Astyanax mexicanus: one gene and its partners. The protein of the gene in region 3 interacts with the protein of the main gene of each other region in a pairwise test. Links are inferred from orthologs where the notes say so. Each region holds a gene or a part of one and is shown on either strand. Other genes may lie near its edges.

What was found.
Region 1: the proteins of E3 ubiquitin-protein ligase XIAP (region 3) and casp10 interact in binary tests that used the Homo sapiens proteins (3 or more experiments, as listed by UniProt). The two-hybrid records come from large-scale screens. The link is inferred for Astyanax mexicanus from reciprocal best matches to the Homo sapiens genes XIAP and CASP10.
Region 2: the proteins of E3 ubiquitin-protein ligase XIAP (region 3) and afadin- and alpha-actinin-binding protein interact in binary tests that used the Homo sapiens proteins (3 or more experiments, as listed by UniProt). The two-hybrid records come from large-scale screens. The link is inferred for Astyanax mexicanus from reciprocal best matches to the Homo sapiens genes XIAP and SSX2IP.

The regions. Positions count from the first base shown.
Region 1 is NC_064418.1:32,518,003-32,524,998, forward strand, and holds the start of casp10 (caspase-8), read right to left. Parts: upstream 3,122-6,996; 5' UTR 2,898-3,121; coding exon 2,886-2,897; intron 339-2,885; coding exon 255-338; intron 1-254. Other genes in the region: protein FAM237A, read right to left, coding at 5,308-5,462. UniProt on the Homo sapiens protein: Involved in the activation cascade of caspases responsible for apoptosis execution. Recruited to both Fas- and TNFR-1 receptors in a FADD dependent manner. May participate in the granzyme B apoptotic pathways.
Region 2 is NC_064423.1:20,581,833-20,589,172, forward strand, and holds the start of afadin- and alpha-actinin-binding protein, read right to left. Parts: upstream 3,122-7,340; 5' UTR 2,893-3,121; intron 953-2,892; 5' UTR 875-952; coding exon 856-874; intron 50-855; coding exon 1-49. Other genes in the region: atrial natriuretic peptide receptor 2, read right to left, coding at 4,722-4,829, 5,522-5,613, 6,601-6,699. UniProt on the Homo sapiens protein: Belongs to an adhesion system, which plays a role in the organization of homotypic, interneuronal and heterotypic cell-cell adherens junctions (AJs).
Region 3 is NC_064417.1:41,604,778-41,612,741, forward strand, and holds the start of E3 ubiquitin-protein ligase XIAP, read left to right. Parts: upstream 1-4,861; 5' UTR 4,862-5,000; intron 5,001-7,964. Other genes in the region: E3 ubiquitin-protein ligase XIAP-like, read left to right, coding at 1,260-1,752, 2,199-2,389.

The DNA.
Region 1 (6,996 bases), on a different chromosome or scaffold from region 3:
CACCAGTGGTATCCAGTATGCATGGACCTTGTACGAATAGCTATGCAACAAAACAGTGGGCTGTTGTTTATCCCAGTGAAAATACCTGTTAGTTTAGTCTTTATTGAAATACATTACTAGACTATACTGTATAACTAAGCTATAAATAATATCTGCATTGAACATGCTATGTTTATTTGAGTTGCATTTAGACTAACATTTATTGAAAGTTTGTGTGTGTGTGTGTGTGTGTCTGATTGAAAACAGTGAGGTACCCTGGGATTAACTGGTGATTGATCCAAGGAACATTCCTGCCTAGCAACCAATGACCCCGGGTAGATCCCACACCCTCTGTGACCCTGATCAGACAAAAACAGATAATAAATGAATATAAGACATTTTTATTCAAAAATTATGATTATGCCATATTATAAAATATAGTATAATATATATACATATATACATATATATGTATATATATTTAAATAACTAAAGAGTCTATATGCGGCGAGAATGCGCACTTGTAGCGCCGAAAACGGACCAAAGAGTCTATATGCGGCGAGACTGCACTCTTGTGGCGTGGAAAACAGGCCAAAGAGTCTAAAAGCGGCGAGAGTGCGCAGTTGTAGCGCGAAAAAAGAGTCTATATGCGGTGAGAATACGCACCTGTGGCACGGAAAACGAACCAAAGAGTCTAAAAGCAGCGAGAATGCACAGTTGTAGTGCAGAAAACAGGCCAAATAGTCTGATAGCGGCAAGAGTGATCAGTTGTAGCGAGGTTAACGGGCCAAAGAGTCTAAAAGAGGAGAGAGTGCACGGTTGTAGTATAGAAAACGGGCCAAAGAGTCTAACAACTCCAAAGAAACGAAAAAATGGACAGCAAATGCAGAAAATTTCAGGCATGTTGGGAAAATTACTATTTTTTTACTAGTATAATATTAAGAGACATTATGAACCAGAACATTAATTTGAAAAATCTTAGTTTACACAACACTGTCTAAGACAGATAAAGATAGTAACTCAAGTAAAATGGTGTGTAAATGATAGTAATTAAGGAAATGTTTTATTATAAGTAGTATATTTCATTATTTGTTTTATTGATTTTTGAGTCTGTGGTCCATGACTGCACATATATTTCTCCTTCTGGCCCACAACAAAAAAAAATTGTACACCCCTGATCTACTGCAACCAAAAAAATATATGTTTATTCAGTGTTCTTTGCTATCAGGCCTTCTGCTCATCGTAGTTTCCTAATCAGCCATCAAAACCAGTGAAAGGCAATGGGACCTATCCAATTGAGGATTTTGCAGGAATGTATAGTTCACAGCTGTACAGTTTGTTAGTTTTATAACTCAAAAGTAGCAGTTTACACGTTTGTTTTGGACTTGACTAACAGGCTATTTGGGCATATTTGTGCTGAATGTTGACTGAATTAGTAACATACACGGTCAGTCAAAAGTTTTAGAACAGCCCTATTTTTAGTTAGTCACCTCTCAGGCCTTTAAGTCTTCTCTTCACTACTAAAACTGAGATTTATGTCGAATGTTAAGCTGCCATGTGGATCAGCCAGGCCGCTGGATGGGTAGCAGTGGCGCCATCCAGTGTTTTCCTAGGCAAAACCGCCACAGAGCAAAACTATGTAGCAGTATAGACTGTAATTGTCACAGTCCTGTCTGTGAAATATAACCAAGTAAAACCAGGTTGACCTTAATTAGGACAGGATTTGAGCTTCTCATTGATTAAACAACATGCTACGTCTATTTAATAATTATTCAAAGGTGTGAAATATATTCACATTCATTACTTAGGTAGAATTATACATACTAGGGTTTAAATATACTTATGTAGAAGGTGAAGTAGCAACTCAAGCCTTTTACTTAAGTACAAGTGTAAAAGTACTGGTTTTAAAACTACTTAGAATAAGTATAAAAGTAAAAGTAATTCAAGGAAAAAATGCCATTAAAGACAACAATTAGGCCATGCCACAGGAGCCTATAGTGCACTACCCCCTTCCCAAAACACATTTTACTAAAAACCATAATGACTACAATGTTATACTAAAATGTTAATGTCGAAAATCTGGATTACTGCATATATACCCATTGAAAATGAACCCAATGCAAATATTAAAGAAACTTAGTTGGAACATTTCACTTGAGTTCTCTTGAGTCTCTGCCACAATATATGGATCACATGTAAACCAATAGGGAGTTGTATATATTTATACTTCTCATTCAACCACAATCAAATTCAATCTATCCAGATGGAGAGATTTATCTAAATAGAATTTTATTGAAACCAATAAAAAACAGCTGAACTGAAATAAGAGTAAAGAAGGCTATTTTTTTAATGTAAGGTGTATAAAGTACAGATAATTGTGGGAAAATGCATAGAGTATAAAGTACAGATAATTGTGTGAAAATATAAAAACTAGAAAGAAATGATAATTGTGTGACAATGTAAGGAGTAGAAATTAAAGATAATTGTTTGAAAATGTAAAGAGTAAAAAAGTACAGATAATTGTTTGAAAATGTAAGGATTATAAAATACACATAATTGTGTGAAAATTTATATTGAAGTAAAACGTCGTCTGAAAAGTATTACTTTAGTAAAGTAAAGATGACCAAACTTTCTACCTAAGCAAGGTAAAGAGGGATTTGTTCTTTATTATTCGACACTTCCGGCAGAATCTCTCATTTCTTCACTTAAGGAAGTAAGTTAACCTAAATTTCCTAGAACTGTAGGGTTCAGCCCGGGTGTGGTAGGTTAGCTAGTGTATCTTGTGACACGGACAGAGTCTCTTTCACGTCTGTATATAACAAATATATCTTCTGCCTCGCTCCCCAACAGACTACACCATTAAATATATAAAGTTTAACTTTTAGCCGACGAGTAAAACGACTTACCTGTTCCTCCATGCTGTGAGGAGTCCTGTGGGAACACCTTCAGCTGAAAACAGGAGAAAATTCCCTGAGAGGGTAATGGTTCATATTCAACCTAACAGCGAGAATAATCAGCTAAAATACGCTGACTGGAATGGCAATATTTCGACTGAACAAAAAAAGACGTTTTCTTGCGCACAGAAAGTTTTTCATGTCAGAGAGTAAAACCGAAACTGTGCAGGGAAGGTGGGGAGAGGGTGGAGTTAAACTTAAACACGCAATCATAGAACTTCTAGAGAGGAGAATTCCCATTTTAAAGATATTTTCTTGGAGTCCAAAATGAATAGATTCATATGGAGCATTTGAGCAGTTTATAAATGTTTGATAATTTCTATACTGAAAATTGCACCCATTTCCCACAGCACAATATCACATGGTTCAGTGGCAAATATATATTTTTTAAGTTTAAAAACTCCAGTTATAAACCATTTAAAATGTTCTGGCTGTAATTCCAGCATCAGCTGAGTTCACCAACCAGGCAGCACTAGAGGTGAGTATCCCAGCTCCAGACAGTAAAAATCCAGACCAGGGTTTTGTACCAACTGCCTGACTAGAGGTGGGTAACCCAGGTCCAGGGCCGCCCATGCAGTTGGTACAAAACCTTGGACTGGATTTTTACCTTCTGGACCTGGATTACCCACCTCTAGTCAGCACACAGAAGGATTAGCCTAAAGGTAGCACATTGACTGCCTAAAACCTGTTAAATATAAAGGTATGTTTTCTTTGCTTGTTTTAGCAACATTCTACATATCCTACTTTCCAAAAATATATCCAAAGAATATCCATGTCAAATGGTTATAGTTACTATTTTTAATTTAAGTTTTTAGGCGTTTAGCTCCATTCACTTCACCTCACCACATTTTGAACTCCCTCTAGTGTTTGAACAGTGATTTTCTCATATATATACAGGGATATAGGATACTTTCCCATTAGTATCTGTCTGCAGAGCCGCGGATATACGCCAGCAGATTCACGCCAGCAGTTTTAAGACAGTGGTAGCGCATTTTTTATTGTGCTGTCAGATGCTTAAAAGTACTTCAATGAATTACATGACTTGTGATTAATTAATCTAAATGAATCATATTTAATCACATTCGTCATCAACATGTTTTGAACTGTCCAATTCACCAGAATTTTAGCTGAGGAGCAAATGAATGAATAAATTTTTTCAATAGAGCTCCCTGTACTGAACATCAGTCAGAGGCTGTAAATACTGCGTATCTTACAGCATTAAACCAATGTCTCATAGCTGCAGCTTTAAGCTTTATTCACCTAAAATTACAAAAAAATTACAGAAGACACTCACACAAGCCTGAGGTTATTTTCAAATACTAACAGAATTTAGATATTTGACCATATTTTTTCAAACATATACCTAGTAAATAAAAAAATATTGTTTCATCTATATTTTCTGAGCTTTGGCTGTTATAATGAAACTAAAATTTGGTTTCCAGTGTTGTGGTTTCTCCACATTCAAAAAGTTACCGGTACACATTGGTACACTCCAGTCATTATTGTTGATTTGGCCATAGACCATATATAAAACCTAAATGTTGCTTGTTGTTAGGCTTGTTGATAGTACACCAAGAATCTTGAGTTCAATTACTTTAACCAAATGATCTGCGTAAGGTGCTCATGCATGTAAACAGATAAAAAAAGCACCCTTTACCTAATTTGTTACAAACTTCAGTGAATTTGTGTAAAACTATGTGAAAATAGTAAACATTTATCACAAAAATTAAGATCCTCAGGGCCTCCTTTATTGAAATGTTGTAAACTATTAGTTCCTATCTGAAATGGTCAAAAATCACACATGATCACAAAAGCATGTTTATTTTATGCAATTACAGTTCTTTTCATTTTAAAAATTAAAAATGATCTTAAACATTAGTTAAAACATAATTGAAAAAAACATTATAAAAGTTGTCACTTTTGAGTCATGGTCACTGTTTATGATATCACAACACTCATTTATATACAGAATTTTACTTTGAATGAATGTTATGTATTATACATTTTTGTATATTGTGCCTTACAACTGTATTTATTTGAATGTTTATCTTTAAATGTATTTTGATATCTTTAAACAAAGTATTGCCAGCTTAAGAATCTTTTGCCGGTAGCTCTTTAGTAAACTGGTATTTGATGGTCAAGGTAGTTGACCATCCAGAAGAAAGCATATTATGTGTATGAATATTTTGAGCCAGTTTGAGCTGTTTGTTTTTAGTATATTTAATATGATCAATAACAAAACAATTCAGCTTTAAACTCTTTTTTCTACTGCAGACAACAGACAGTATTAAACAGACAATATCAACAGCAAATGATGCAAATGATTTTATTAATCAGAAAAGTAGACTTCATGTAGAAAAGGTAGGATCTGTAATTAAAAACTCGAAACTTTTTTAATGTTCAAGGATTTTGGATGGGCTCCATGCTGCAAATTATTTCGTCCAACCTGTTGCACTTGGATGCGGAACCAGCCACGTGAGAACTTCTTTAACTTTGAGAAATGGTTCTGTGACTCCTGCACAAACGACTCTAGTGGGAAAACAAAAAAGAGTCAGTGTAAATTGCAACAGACATGAGGATAACCGTCTAGCCATTTAAAATAATTAATAAGTTGGCATACGTGGCTCCATTTGCATTTGGGAGTTTGTTGGTTTTGTTTTACTGAAAGTGAGAAATTAGAATTTAGTGTAGTGCTGTCCAATTTGGGCCAAAAATTTATGTGTAACATAACACAGTGCTGCCAGAACACAAGAGTAATGGGGAATTACTTCAGCATTTCAAAATCTATTAGATAATGACTGGAACCATGTAACCATTTAATGTCACAAAATTATCGCATTTAGAGGGATGACACATGTCAGATTTAGAATAAGATCACTCTGACTCGTGACTGTTCCAGTTCTCAAAGCCAGGATTTGCTGACATTCCAATTGTGTTTCTGGACAAAATTTATATATGATATATTATTATGAAAACTAAATAGTAACTGTTTGTGTTTTGAACAATGCTTTCTGGCCATTACATATCCAAAGGTATATTTTCAGAAGCCAGGTTGGATGAGAAAATCACAAAATAATTGTATAACTGCAACATTTTTGGCAAAATGAGAATAATGACACATTTACAAGCAGTTATCTTCTATGCATAAGATCTTGTACTACTTAATTGTATTCAGTGTCTGGTAGAGATGTGCACTGTAGACATGCATACAACACGTATTTTAACAGATATTAAACCCTTTCATATTACACCAATGTATTCAACAACATTACATGCATGACCTTTTATGTACATTTTAGTATTTCTGGGAACTGTTCGTTTTTACAACTGAATAGTCCAGTTGTACTTCACCTCTAGTAAATGTATGATTCGCTAGAAATGTGCACTAGATATCTACTTAAATTTACTAAGAGTAAATTTCCTGCCACACATAACATAGTCAAAAGTTCCTTGTGGAAAAAATTATGTGGATATCAGCGGAATTGTGTTAATTCACCATCTAAATTGTTTCAATAGGTTTGTAAATTGCCGATATATAAAAAACAGTGCCTGATCTGCTTCTCCACATTAAATCTTCTCTGTTTCAAAAGCAACACGTTTATTAAAGTAAACACAGTCAAGAAAAACCTTGATCAGTTAAAAATCTTCTTTTAGGTTTATTGACCCATCTAGAAAAGTTTTAGCTGAAAAGGTTAATTGACCCTCTAATTTAGTCTGCAGTGTCTACAAATTGTAGGTCCAGGCAACAGAAAGGGTAAAAAAAACACCAACAAAAGGTATACAAGTGTAGCAAAACTCATCAGTGTCACACAATGCAAATTCTCTATAGTGTTAAATGAGCACTGGCACATTAACTGTGCAGGTGCATATGAGTATGTGTTCCAAGATTCCAGAAGAACTCACATTCTGCCAGCAGATACTACATTTAAAACATGTAGAGTGCGTTTAAAAACATACAAAAACAAATACATAGAATTGTATGGGGGGACAGCTGGAGTGCAGTAAAGGTGTGTTCTGATGTTAATGATGTGATTGAATAGGTCCAGGACTGTATCTGAATACA
Region 2 (7,340 bases), on a different chromosome or scaffold from region 3:
TGCCTTGAGGGAGGCATTGTAGAGTAACAGTAAATGGTGCTGATGTCTTCTGTAGGAGAAATAATCAAAGAAACTTTTATATAATTCTTAGTATGTTCCAAAGGAAGTGTCTGTGAAACACACAAAAAAAAACAGAAATAACTGTGGTACAAACAATTCTGGAATTATTTTGCTTGGTAAAAATACAGTCTTAGTCATGGTTTTGTGTGGGGGTAAATATCATGACAAAGATGACAATGAGCATGCTAAGTTTTATCGAGGTTAGTAGAGACACATGAACTTAAAATAGTACTCCAGTGTTATTTCTGGTTCCTTAATTTATTCCCTTTACACATGAGACTATGTCTATGTAGAGCAAAAGAGTCATACATACACTGTATGGAATGTCAGTATGAAGCTCTGGCATAAAACAATGAGTTTAAAAATATACACAAATCAACTCATTCATATCTTTAATCTTACCATTTACCTATGAAGTGTTTTAAAACTTTTGCCATGCCTCATGGAAGCTAAAGAATGCTGATTTAAGCAGCAGGATATTCAGAGCCTTCTGTGTTAATTGTTGATGCGATTTGGATCATTTTAACCCATTATCCACTGTGAGTAGTCATGTCTTATAGGACATATTCCTGGTACACAGATAATGCTGTGGACCCTCGCTCAAACGATTAACCTATTAATAACCTATTTTTACCTATATTAACCTAGTAATTATTTCCTTTACTAAAGAATCCTCAAAGTGCCATTTTAATAAGTGCAGTTAATACTGTGCTTCTGTGAAATAATTAAATATGTTTTTAAGCATAATACTTTCATACAAATCATAGTATTACATATATTATAAAACAGTTTCACCATATGATGACTCTGGCATCTTTCCAGGCTTCCATATATCCAAGGAGCTAATACTGTGTGGATTAGTTATTTAGCGGCAAACACCTGCACAGGTACCCTGAAAACAAAGAGCATGTTAGCAGGGCTTTTCACGTTACTCCATCACTCCATTGCTAACATAAATCCAGCAATCTAACATAATTCCACAATCTTAATAATGTATAATAATACATACATACATACATGCACTAACAGGACAAAAGTTATTTTTTCCTCTGAAACCAAGGATATTAAAAAGAGTTTATCCTGAATTTGTTATTGTATAACTGTCTGTACATACTTTAAGGAACCTACATAGGCCTACTTTAGTCAGACTAATTATATCAAATTCTGAACCAAGTGTTCTAAAAGCATGTTTTTCATATATTCAGCCATGTTGAAAAAATAGTATACATAGTAGACATGTGCAGAACACTGTTATTTTTCATACTTTTGCAGGCTTTACCCTAGCTGTAGTTCCCATGATGCAATTTTAGTATACTGGGGACGTCTTTAACATTCTTTGATGCTTGGAAGGATGCTTCATTTTGAAGAAAGTAATTAATCATTTGAGAGCTAGTTTGAAGAACAAAGCTTAGTTGCAGCCGGCAGATGAATTCCATCACACACCCGCCAAATGTATTTAAAATGGGTTTGCCATATCCTATCGTATGCAAGAATTTCACCAACAATCTTAAATACTGGTAGCACAAAAACACCCTGAAATATTGTGATCACACTCTTCTCATTTACCTTTAAATATCTATTAGAAACAGATTATACACTGCCTGGCCAAAAAAAGTTGCCACCTAGATTTAACTAAGTAAATGATCTGGGGTTGCAGCAGTTGGTCAGGTCTAACTTTTTTTGGCAGTGTATCTTTCCAGTATCTTTTATTTTACTTCAATCCTGGATAAATAGGATGTTGGACAAATGACTTACAATGTTACAATGTTGTAAAAATCTTAGTTAGGGGAGTGGCATATTACATGTATCTTATCATTCATATTTTGTTGCAGCATGTTTTTTTATTTATCTTTATTTTTGTATTTAATGTTGTATATCATTATCGCAAAAAATACCCTGAAATATTGTTATATTATTTTAGGTACATATCGCCAACCCCTAGTATTTAACTATAACACTTGCTTTACAGTAACATACAGCTCTGGAAAAAAATAAAAGACCACTTAAGTTTCTGAATCAGTTTCTATGACTTTGTTATTTATAGGTATATGTTTGATTCAAATAAACATTGTTGTTTTATTCTATAAACTATGGGCAACATTTTTTCCAAATTCTAAATAAAATAGTCATTTAGAGCATTTATTTGTAGAAAATGAGAAATGGCTGAAATAACAAAAAAAGATGCAGAGCTTTCAGACTTGTAAAGAAAACAAGTTCATATTAATAAAGTTTTAGGAGTTCAGACATCAATATTTGGTGGAAAAAAACTGGTTTTAATTACAGTTTTATGCATTTTGGCATGTTCTACTTCACCAGTCTTACACACTGCTTTTGGATAACTTCATGCCACTCCTGGTGCAAAAATATATGCAGTTCAGCTTGATTTGGCTTGTGATCATCCATCTTCCTCTAGATTATATTTCCAGAGGAAACTCATCATTTTTTACAGAGCTGTATAATCAGTCTAACTAAAGCAGGCCTATAATATATGAATGACATCAGCACAAATAACACGTTTATAACGATTACTGTAACGTTTGTACATATAGTTCAAAATATAATCAAGCGCTAATAGTACCGTTATCCAACTGGTTGTAGTAGCAGGCTAAATGTTATGAGACCTGGCCATCTCTTCAGACTGACTGCGCTAAAACCGGCAGTAAATATGTGTCCAGAATCCAGTGAACGAGGCTACAGGAACTGTCAGGTTGTGCGTGGTACTCTTTTAAGCATGTTTAACTGTATAATCTGAGCACACTCACGGCTACATTCAGGACACATGCGCAGCTACATATAAATCCGTGCCTGGCTGAGAGGACGAGGCTCACTTACTTGTCTTTTTAGCAACGAAGAGCATCACCAGGGCATCTGGGGTATTCCACGTCGACAGAGGTTTTAAAGAAACGCCTTAGAAAAATGGTGAACCGCCTTTAAACGCTGTGCTGATTTTGTACCCGGTAATAACATTAAACTGTATCTGTAGCTCCAGCTGGAGGTGCTGCAGTTCTGGCTCTTCTACAGAGTGCCAGTTTCAGCTGCAAAACGAGGACAAGCAGCGACAAGCATTGCGTTGTCAGGCAACGAACAGCGGCCACCTGATTGGCCGCTTACCTCGTATAACCCAAGCGTCAACCAATGAGCTTCGATGCGGGCTTTGGATGGCAAAAAAGGCTTTGTATACAGAATATATAAATATAAATCTGTAATAAATCAGTGCAATGTGTCTATAATAAAGTGTATAGTCAATGATTGATTAACAAAATATATATGAATATTTTCATATATTATTTAACATATACAGTTCTGGAAAAAAATAAGAGACTACCTCAGTTTCTAAATAAGTTCCTCTGATTTTGCTATTTATAGGTATATGTTTAAGTAAAATGTTTTATATGTATAAACTACAGACAACATTTCTCCCTGATTCCAAATACAAATATTGTCATTAAGAGCATTCAAAGAAAAAAAATCAAAGAAACTCATACCTTTCAAGTGGTCTCTTATTTTTTTCCAGAGATTTTCTCTGGGCACGCTATGATGCTTTTTGGCAATGCTACATCAGCAGCTGTTCGAAATGCAACATCAGTTCAAAAAGAGCCAGTGGCTTACGGAGAACGGAGGCATGTGCTAGTCTTCAGGCACCTTGTGTTGTGGCATCACTGGTGATGAGGAATATACAGCTGATTAGCAGCTAAATGGGTGGGACAATCAGCCTAGCTAAATAGGGGAGAAAATGGGAACTAGAAATAAATTATAAATAAATCTTTTTAAAAAAATAGCCTGAGATGGGCAAGTTTATACACAGGTATATCATATGAATTCATATAATACTATTTTTAAAAAAGTAGTTATAATAATAGAAAATAATAAAACGTTATTGCTAAATATATACAAATATTGATAGAAATGTAAATTGTACACCGCTCATCGGACAAGATTTTTCAGTTTAACAGCAGGGAGAGGATTTGATTGCAAACTTTCTGAATCATAAACTTAACTCTGAATCATCCCAAATGGATTGAATGAAGTTTCAACAGTCCAGAGAATGTAGCTGCACTGCCCCACAGTCCAATGCTGGTGGGTTTTACCCCTGTCTAACTGACACCTTTCTGACCTTAGGCATCCTATTCCACAGACAGAGCGTTTTAATGGATAATATACAAGCTGAACCTATTTGTCAGGAATAGTAGCTGAATTCAATCATTAGAGGTGGAATCTGGATACATTTTGGCCTTTTGTGTGTATGTTATTGTATGTAACACAAAGCTTAAGTAATAGACCGATAAATTGAATTAATGTGTCAGGCTTTTATGAGTCAAAAATCTAAATGCATTTAATGTTATTTAATTCTCTGTTATTCGTAAAACGGAATTCACATAATACACAGTTTATTAATTATTAAACACAGATATTTACAAATTACATCAGCAAGTCTTGAAATCCTGGAGTGATTAATCTTGAGCTATGCATAATTTCAGAAGGTAACAATAAAAGCATAATAAATACAAATGCACAATAATTTATGCCACATCACAGAATGAATAGCGTCCGAAAAAGCAATTATTTTGCCAATGTTGCGATGTTAGATTTCATTTTGCATGATACACTTATCAATACAACGATCAGGACAGGAAGGTAGGCATATTCTCTAGACAGTGGTGTTAGCTGCTAACTGGGACAGGACCACACTGTGGCTCTTCATCTTGAAGGAAATGATCCATAGGGCTTTTTTTAGTCTCCAGCCACCAAGTTGTCATCTCACCTTTGCCCTGTAAGACAAACGGTTACAGACAAGCAGTAAATCTTCCCTTGTCGTGTCTCTGTTCGTGAACATCGCCATTAAAATTCAGAGAGGGGGATTCTATTTGTCTCTGAATAATGAATGAGGAGGTAGAAGACACTGTCCAGAAGCCAGCTGAGACCAAGCTCTAATTGAGACATAGCACAGCTGTGCTAGGCCCAACAGCATTCTCTCTTGGGACCCTTGTCATCTTTCGTATGTTCTCTACTGGACAATCAATTAATTTCTAGGATATGCAGGGAGATCAGCTGAAAATAATTATGATACATTTTGAGAATGTTTTTTTTTACTCAGTTACTTGTATACATAGTAAGGGCATAGTGAATAGCTGCATAATTTATGCGCAACATTTTACGTAAAGGCTGTGAGGTTTAAAAGGGGTTACCATGTAAATTATCTTGTCAATCTCTGAAAGGGCGCATTCCATGAGAAAAGGTCAGTTATCTATAGCAACCACAGTGAGTCAGCTACAAAATCCTGCCCCAAAAATGATCCCAAAAAGGAATCCTAAAAAAATTATGTGCATCTATTCTCAAACAATCCTAGTAACTGTAATGTAGTGTAACATTTGTAAATATTTGCTCCATTGCTTTTAGTAGCACATAATGTCTTAAATTAAGTTTCACTTTCACTGTTTGCAAATGATGTAAGCAATCTTACCTTCACATTTAGACTGCCACGACAGAGCAGAACGTATCCCCCAAGAGTGTGGAGGAGATCAGCTGTGGATTCACTGCACTGAATCTTTAAAGCTGCCAGAAGATAATATGGCATTTAAAATTGTAATACTGTAAAACATTAGGTGCTATGTTCCACTTAAGCAAGTACCAAATATATATTTAGGATAATGTATAATGCCATGTAGAAAGACCACATTTTGTTTTTTAATTAAAGAAATTACAGATAAGCCTTTCAAAATATAAGTTAAATTTATCGTGTCCACACTTTAGGTTTATTGCAGCAGCAGAAAATCAAAAATCAAAATCAGAAAATCAAAAAACAAAAATCAGTTACAGAAGTTGTTGCATTTTGTGCTTCCCAAACATATTTAATAATGTCAAGGTCTGGACTCCTGGATGGTCAATCCATTGCTCTGAGGACTTCAATTGTTCTTATTCTCTTTTGTCTGTTTGTTTTTATCACTTTGACCTTCTTGGTCAACTCCACATACTTTCATCTTCTCACAATTGAGCAACGAATAGAAACACCTGTGGATGTTTTCAGATCAGAAGCGAAAGTGGAGCTTGTTTTCCTCCTCTGTCTCTCTGTCTAGTGATGAAAGCTTTCAGTGCTGTTTGATGGAGATTGATACCAGGTCTTGCATGGTTGTTAGGAGTCCCATTTTAAATGGTTTTCTTTTGAATTCTACTATCCTTGCAAACAGATGGCTTATATCTAATTCCCTTAAGAATATGAACTTTTGACTGTAAAATTCAATATGAATATTTGCCTGACTTTTGTACAGTACTGTAAATGTAATGGAATGGAACTAACACAAAAACAAGGTTACTAATATTATTGAGAATATCTTGTGGTCACGTGCAATTAAAAGCATTACACATATACTATCAAGGGCTTGGTAAATGTCATTGACAGTATTTGATGTGACCAAATAAGTAAACCTCATTTAATGCCGTCATTCTGTCTCCAAAACCATTTCTTATCAAAGGCAAACATAGCAGCAGTCATCTGAGCTGATCATTAACCTAGTGTTTACAGGCCACCCTTCACTCACGTACCTTCACTGGTAGACTCCATGCGGGATGCTGTGTTCACAGTGTCTCCAAACAAACAGTAACGTGGCATTTTAGTGCCGACCACTCCAGCCACCACAGGACCTAAACCAGCCACCAGACACAAACATTGCCTTATATACCATGAGTCAAAGTAAATACATTTTTCTGCCTTGCAACAGATAAGACAAACAAACGTAAAACTAGTTTTACATCCTGAGTTGCAGAGGATCATAATGCATCCTCATAATGCAGAGTAAATTTGTCAGAAAAAATGAGGCAAGTAGCAGAAAAGTCATTTGAACAGTATTGTGACTATAGCTCTGTATGTAAAGAAACCAGCTATTAATTTGTATCTTTCTTTAAAAAATATTGACAATTGTTAGCCAATTTACAAGGCATCCTCTGCTTCACTGGTCCCAAAGTCAGTCGTGGAGACGTTTTGTATTTCCATACTCAAACACACCTCTTCTAGGTGTCCTGTTTCTAGTCTGACCTTCCCTTCCAGTGCCCAAGTTGTGTTCCAATAATCAAGAACACATTTCATGCGTTCTTGCTTTGCCACAAAAACTGGGGATGCACCACTTGGTGCATCCAGCATTTCTCTTGAAGTAGTGGCAGTAAAATTGCCAAAACTGGTAAGCTTTGGATAACAGTTATACAGGTGCATCTCAGAAAATTAGAATATTATAAAAGACCAATTGATACTTTTGGCAGTGTGGGCAGTGCGCCAAGTTCTGCTGGAA
Region 3 (7,964 bases):
AAATAAACAACAATCAAACTCTGTATAAAGCTTTCCTGAAGCTGCTGCCAAAAGGAATTAAACAGGGGAATCCCACAAGGAAGTTAAATCTCAACCCCTGTAGACACCCACACAATGTTTATTAACAAAGTATCTTTCTATAAATGTTATTTATTATTACTTTGTTTTATTAAGTGATTCATTTCAAATAATTTGTTAACGATTGTGCAGTTCGTGGGTCCATGTGCCATGAAGCGCTTTAAGTTGGTTTGTGGTCTCTGTTTTTCTCTTTTAACTGATTTATTTCTGCACATCTATTTTATGATGATTCAAATTTATGATTTTATATGTTTGGTTTGTACTAAACATTATTTACAGTAAATATGTATCTTCTTATGGCCTGTACTGTGTTCTTGCAGAGTAGAAAGTTGCAGAGTTAAATAATAATAATTATTAATATTAATATTATTATTTGTGGGAAGTACCATTCTCCTAAAAGTGAATATTGAGTGAATATTTAGAGAACAAATCATTCAAAACCTTTAAATAAATTTTGATTCAATGTCAGAATTGCAACATTAACCGATTACTATTAGGCATAGTTAAAAAATATTGTTTTATGGTTGTTGTTTTTTTATTATGTTTATTTAATGTTCTTTGCTATTAGGGTCTGACCCAGTCACCTAACCATCACAATTGGGCCTGTCAGAGTCATTTGGATCTTCACACAGTACACCCACTGCCTAATACTGTATATATACCCTTCATCTTTTACTTTTACGAGTACTATTGTTATGTTTTCAATACACATGTAACACGGTTCAAAGACATAAAACACAAAAAATAGTAATTTTGATTGTTTTACATGGGCAATTCTTGAATTGCTGTGGAAGCATGAATTTTTCATTATTAATTGTCAGAAAAAAAGACAGAGGCCGTTTCTATCAGACCATCCCAGTAAACACTTCTTCTGATTGTCAGACAAAGCATGTGGGTGTTCCCATGGGGCGTCACTTTCTCTTTCTTATTATTTAGCTAGAGCTTTAACAACAGTGCATTCATTAGAGCAGAGGAAGTGGTTTTATATATATCTGACGGATCTCCAGAAGGTATGTTAATGCAAAAAAAATCTAAATGCCTATTTCAGTTTTCAAAATTACTAGTTTAATAAATTAGTAAATTCAACTATGTTACCTTTTATTCGGGATGTGAATGGGTTGTATGTTTTAACAACCAATTTAGTGCTATCTGTTTCTCTTATTTAGACACACACTGTGACAATGGCTGATTTCAACACTGCTGGCACACTCGAAACCCATGATGGATCACAGGACTTGTCCTGTTTTAATAGTAGGAGGAACCTCATAGGTGATCATTCCTCTAAGGCCAGCAGTTCCAATCAAGAGGCGAAAGCCATCAGACTCCACAAAGGAGAGATTGTGAATGAGTCCCCCTACCCGAAAGTGCCACACATGAGGAGTGAAGAAGCCCGGCTGAGGACGTTCAGCAACTGGCCCTCCTCGTCCCCGGTCCAGCCCAATGACTTGGTGGGGGCTGGGCTGTTTTATGTGCCTAAACCAACCATAAATGACCTGGTGCAGTGCTTCTGCTGTGGAGGCATACTGAAAGCCTGGAAGGAAGGTGATGTTCCCTGGAGTGAACATTCCAAGTTCAACCCAAACTGCTTCTTTATCTTGGGGCATGATGTGGGGAACATACTGATGGAGCTGAAGAGTGATAGCAGTAAAAATGTATTCTCAAATAAAGAGAGAGGTAAGAAGATTTGAAATGCACATATTACAAATAATGAGCATAATCAGCATAATGTAAAGTCTTTGTCCAGTTTGTCCAACTGTGCCAGGGCATAGGGCACAATACACAATATATAATTTCAGCAATTTTTGCAGCTTGATATTAAAGTAAAATGCACACTGTTCTAATTTTCTATGACAGACTTGTATTATTATTGTGAAACCAGAACACAATTGTTTTAAGAGTATTTGCAATAGGATAAACATGAATTTAGGACAATAATGCTCAGGCATGGTACAGGGCAACCAGGTTTAGTGTGAGTACACCTTAGGTTTTTTAATATGTTGTTGCCGTGCATTTTTATATGATTTTTCTATGAAGTGATGTTATTTGTAAATTATCTTTAGAAAGGTTATACTGTCTCATGTTCTTTTGTAAACAGTGTTTTTTTTCCTTATGTGTTGCAGATGAGGACCCTTTAAAGACACTGGAGAAGCTCCAGCGTGAAAAGCTCTGCAAAGTTTGCATGGATAATGACCGTTCCATTGCCTTCATCCCATGTGGGCACTTGGTCACCTGCAGAAAATGTTCCAATTCTGTTGAAAAGTGCCCTGTGTGTTGTGCTTTCATCACTCAGAAAATCAAAACCTATAGCTAAGATTCCACTTTGACACAAAAACTATTATGATGTGAATCATTAACAAGTATTCCTTACAATTGTGCATATGGATATATTTGGATATAATACTTGTATAATTATATATATAAATAATTATGTGGTTTTATATTTTATTCTGCTAATTTTGCTACTTTATTGTCAGCCCACATAAACATAAGTCTTTAGTTTTCTGCTGTTCTGAGAGATGTGTAGTGTGTCGTCAGTGGGTAGTTTATGCTAGATTTTACAGGCAGATTAAAGTATTTGTAGGTAGGTAGATTTCTGTTGGCCTGATTTCAGAGCATGGCTACCCACACAATGATGAAATGGCATACTCTACATAAAACTATGAATGTTGTTTCCAGAAAATAAACTGCAATCAAACTTTAGCTTTCCTGAAGCTGCTGTAAAAGGGATTTGAATCACATTACAGGGAGTGTATATTTTGAGCACAAGAAAGTTTATTCTGTAGACACCTGTAGACACCTAGGCTGTGTTTATTGACATAGTCATATTAATCATATTAACACATTTAATCACTTTGTTTTATTAAATGATTTATTTGAAACACTGTGTTTTTGTACTAATAAAATAGGGTTTTGTAAATAGGAGCTGGGGTTATTTGTTTGGGTTAGCCTATTTCTCTCTTTTTACTGCTTTTTTCTTTTTCTAACACTTCCATTTAACCACAATATGTATATTAAACCGTCTATGTCAAAGGTACACCTGAAACATCTGTGGAAGCATGAGTTTATCATTATGACTTTTGCATATTAACATAATTTTTTTTTTCTCATTTGTTTTTTTTTTCTTTTGTATAGAGGGCACATGACTGTAATATTTTAAGTTTAAAATCCAATAAATCCATCACTTGTGTTATAAAACTGTGTCTGTGAAACATTTTATTTAGCATTTAAGGGTGATTTCACACCTACTTTCTACTGACTTTCAGACTTTTCAGTTTACAACCAAGCTCTGGATATACTGAACTATGGTCCAGTTCATCTGCAGTGTGAAAACACTTTTCTAAATGGTTCAACCTTTTAGATCAATTACAGGAAGTTGGTGTTGTGCCGACTCCACTTGGCATTCAGCCATGCAGTATGGACACTGTTTTACTTCCATAATGCAGCAGTATGGACACAAACGCAAACAGAAATATATAGATTTTTTTGCTATTTACAGTGAAACTTTAAAGGGGTATATTTTGTAGAATATGTTACATTTAAAGTTTATACACATGCTACTATACTTCACGTACGTGAATCCAAAGGACTACAGGACTCTTTTTTTCTTTTTCTTATTTTATTAGACCCTCAAGGATTCAAGGATTCAGTAAGACTTTATTGTCATTCGCATCACGTGGTACATGAGGTGGAACAGAAATGTTATCTCACAGCTCAGTTCCACCCAAAAGAGCAATTGTAATGTAGATAAAATAAAATAAGAATAAAATATTTAATTGAAATAGATAGCAAGATAACTACACATAACATAAAGGGAAGTAGCAGCAGCATAAAACAAGTGCAAGTACTTAAGGCTTGATAAAGTGTAACAGTACTCTTTAATCCTTGTTCTGTGACATGACATATATATCTCATATATTTGTATGTTCTTTCAACAATAAAATAAAATGTCTGTTTTTTTTGGATATTTTATTTAGTTTTAGTTTGAACATAAAACACAACTAATACAATACTAAAAAAAATGTAAATAAAAGAAATTGACATTTTTTCTGATAGGACATACAGTATAATATATTTATACATATACATATAGTATAAATACAATTAATACAAATATGGTTAACCTAGTGTACAACTAACATATATATAGTCAACGATAAAATTTAAAGAGATCTTACATCACCATAAATCAATGGGTCTTTTCAAATGAGTCTTTTTTAATATAGTCAAAGAAGGGCTGCCATACCAAAATATTTCCAATTTGTTTCTTAAATGGTAGGTGATCTTTTCTAGGGGTATACAAAGGTTAATTTCAGAAATACATATATTTTAACAAGATTTCAGTGAGCCTTATGGTGCAACTTTTTTTTTTAATTACCCAATAGTCAAACTTCTGAACCTATTGGAAAAAAGATACCAAGAATCTCAGATAACATATTACAAATTTTCTGCCAGAAGTCATGTACTTTAGGGCATGACTATGTACAGTGAGGGAAAATACCATCAGTAACACCACATCTGTAAGAAAGGGGGGGACACCTTTGAATTTAAAGTGTGCAGCTTAATTGGAGTATAATAAAGTTGGTGTAGGAAATTAGATCGAATCAGTCTTAAGCTTGTGGTAGATGTGATCCCTATAAGATCTCTATAAAGATCTTCACACAAATTTTGATCTATAGCCAAACCCAGTTCTTTTTCCCATTTAGTTTTGTATCTATAAAAAAGGTCTGCTTTAGTGTGAGAGACACACACTAGTCACTATGGTCCATAAAATCGTGTGGGCGTGGCTAATTGTTCCTTCCGCTTTTCTGTAGCTAGCTGGTGGCAGTATAAGAGCAGGATAGAGGAAGGGAGGCAGTCTGTCTGAAAGTTAAACCTTGTGAACGGCAGAATAGGACTGGATTCATCTGACTGGTCTCCTGAAGGTACGTTGACACTAAAACGGTTGCTTTAGTGACTTTAAATGCCGCTAAATCGTTTACGCTAGTTCTAGCTTAGCTAAACTAGCTTAACGTTAGTAGCTAGCTAACACAGCTGCTACAACAACACTGCAGACAGACCGAAGGTCGAAACTCCGTGTCTCTGGTGATTAATCGATCACAACTCGAACAGTTTTGCTTTTTAGGTTCACAGGCAGAAAACAGGGTGGTTTATCTTGCTAATTAAGCTCCGTTTAAGGTCAGCTGCTCTTTGTTGCTGCAGTCTAGCAGGTCTCTTAGTATCCTAACGTAACTAGCTAGCTAACGCTAGGTTAGCTGTGTCAACCAAGGGTGTTTTTGTCATGGTGTCACCTCTAGAGCTAGCTAATCTGGTTACATAGTAGTAACTTAGTAGTAGTAGTAGTAGTAGTAGTAGTAGTAGTAGTAGTAATAATAAAGATATTTAGCGAATGTGTTTAATAATGTGAATATGTGAATGTGAAGTTCTACCCATGGTGGTAATGACAGGTGGTAGCGAGCTAACTATCCTACGAGCGAGCGAGCGAGTGAGTGGGGAAAAGTCCAGAAAAGTCATTGTAGACCGCAAACTGGAAAGCGAACTAGGTGCGTCCCCAATTGCTTAGTTGTGGGTTTGTTTAATGTTAATTTATAGCTCTACGTTTGGAAATTACTGGACTGATTTCCCCCCAAAATTCTGTACATGAATGGTGGGTAAGATGGTCCTAAAACATTATCACGATACTTCAGGGTATTTGCGCAATAACCATAATTTTAATGATATGACAAGGGAATTAAAAAAAAAAAAAAAAAAATATATATATATATATATATATATATATATATATATATATATATATATATATATATATATATATATATATATATATATGTAATAAATTAATGTTCAACAATATACTACTGCAACAATATACATGAAAAGTTTTAAACCTTCAACAAATCTGTAACTATTCTCCATTATGTAACAGTAACTTTCCAAGATTTTGAATATTCTTAATGTAACAAACAGTAACACAAGTAACAAAAAAAACTACCAAATACTAAAGTGCAGATTATTTAGTGCGTGTATAAATTTTGAATGTAAACTATCATACAGAATATACCACTATAAAGTTGCACTGTAAATAGCAAAAAACTCAAAACAAAACAACAACAGAAGAATAGCACTATTATCACAATATGAATTGATAGGGATTTTTAAAATTTATTTAAAAAAAGATACAAGATATGGCAAAAACCGACTAAAACTTCTATATAACTGCTAGCTAAATAATTTTGTGAATGTTCCAGTTTTATTATTCATTAAATACATCACTTGCTTCTGTCCAATAAACAAATGTGTATCTTCATTTGAACCATGTAGCTGCTGTGTATACTGTGTAAATATTTCTGAATGAATGGACTACTAGAAATGCTTTAAAATTACTCATTTTACATTAACTTTCATTTAGAGTTAAGGACATTTTTGGCCTTTCCTGTAAAATCACAATTTAGGAGAGACAGGTTTCACAATTTAGGAGGGACATTCATAGCTATTAACACATCTGATGTAAAATGATTTTTAGTGTTTTTGTAATGCACAGCTAAAGAAATAGTCTGTTCTATAATACACAGCTCTTTTGGGTTTTGTGAGCCTGTGCAGAACAGGGCGGGTTCTGGTAGCTTTGATAGAAATGCATAGAAAAGGATTACAATAAGAATTACAATACAGTAGATTGAAAGGCCACACCTGTGTTTAAGAGTGCTAGATCTTATTGTTAAGCTGTTACTCAACATCTGTCCATCAATCACTTGGATGGCCTGATGGTATCGGTTTATTACCTCACTATGCAGATAGTGATGCTGGTGCTATGTACAGTATGTAGCACCGGTATGTTATCAATTTTTGCTTCGCCTCATGGTTGAGAGTGGGCGAAGCATATTAAAGTTAATAAGTGTGGGTGTAAACGTTTCCTGTGCTGTTCTAGAACTCTTAGCACATGCTGAGGGTGAGGCGTGCCTGTGACCATATACTTCTCCAGGATTTAAGTAATATCCCTGAATAATATGTGTTTAGACTTAAGAAGCCTGAACTTATGTTTGATTCAGTGTATCTATTGGTGAAAGCAATATTTTTGCCATAAAGCTACAGTTAGGGCCATATACCTTCATTACTGTAAAATGATAAAATTCCCATACTAAAATTGAAAGTTATGTTTTGGGGCAGGAAATTCCTCCCAAAATGAATGCACAATACACTACATAAAAAGGCCACACCCTTGTTTGAGGGTGCTGGATTATAATTGCTAGGCTGTTACTCCACATCTCTCATTTCAAACAGGCTAAAGGTGCTGGTTGGTTACGCAACATCACTATGCAGATAGTGATCCTTGTGTAAAATATATGGTATGAAACACCCTTCTATTTTTTTAATGGCATCACATATGAAATTAACTAGCCTAACTGTTTGGATGTAATCCTGTGTCAGATTTAATGCGTCTTTTGCTGAAAGCACAATTTATTTATTTTTTTTGCCTTAAAGCTACACCTTTGGCGATGTCTTTACTGTAAAATGTGGAACTTTCCCTACTGAAATTGAAAGTAAAATTTTACTGTTAAATATGACTTCATTGCTAGATTGAAACCTCACTTTGTAGCTGTAACCAGGGAATGCCCCTCTTGCTGCACATTTTGTTCAATCTTCATAACGAAAAAGAAACTTATAATAAATGTATACAAAACATGCCAAAAATTTAGTTAAATTACCTCCAGGATATCTGTGTGGGGCCTTTTACATAGAATGTGGTTTTGATATCGTCCAGAGTCTGTCTGTCTTGCGTGCGTTGTCAGAAGCCATAGATCACAATTATTACCACCCACTAGGGGTGGGCGATATGGCCCTAAAATAATATCACGATATTTCATGGTATTATCGTGATAACTATACTCTTG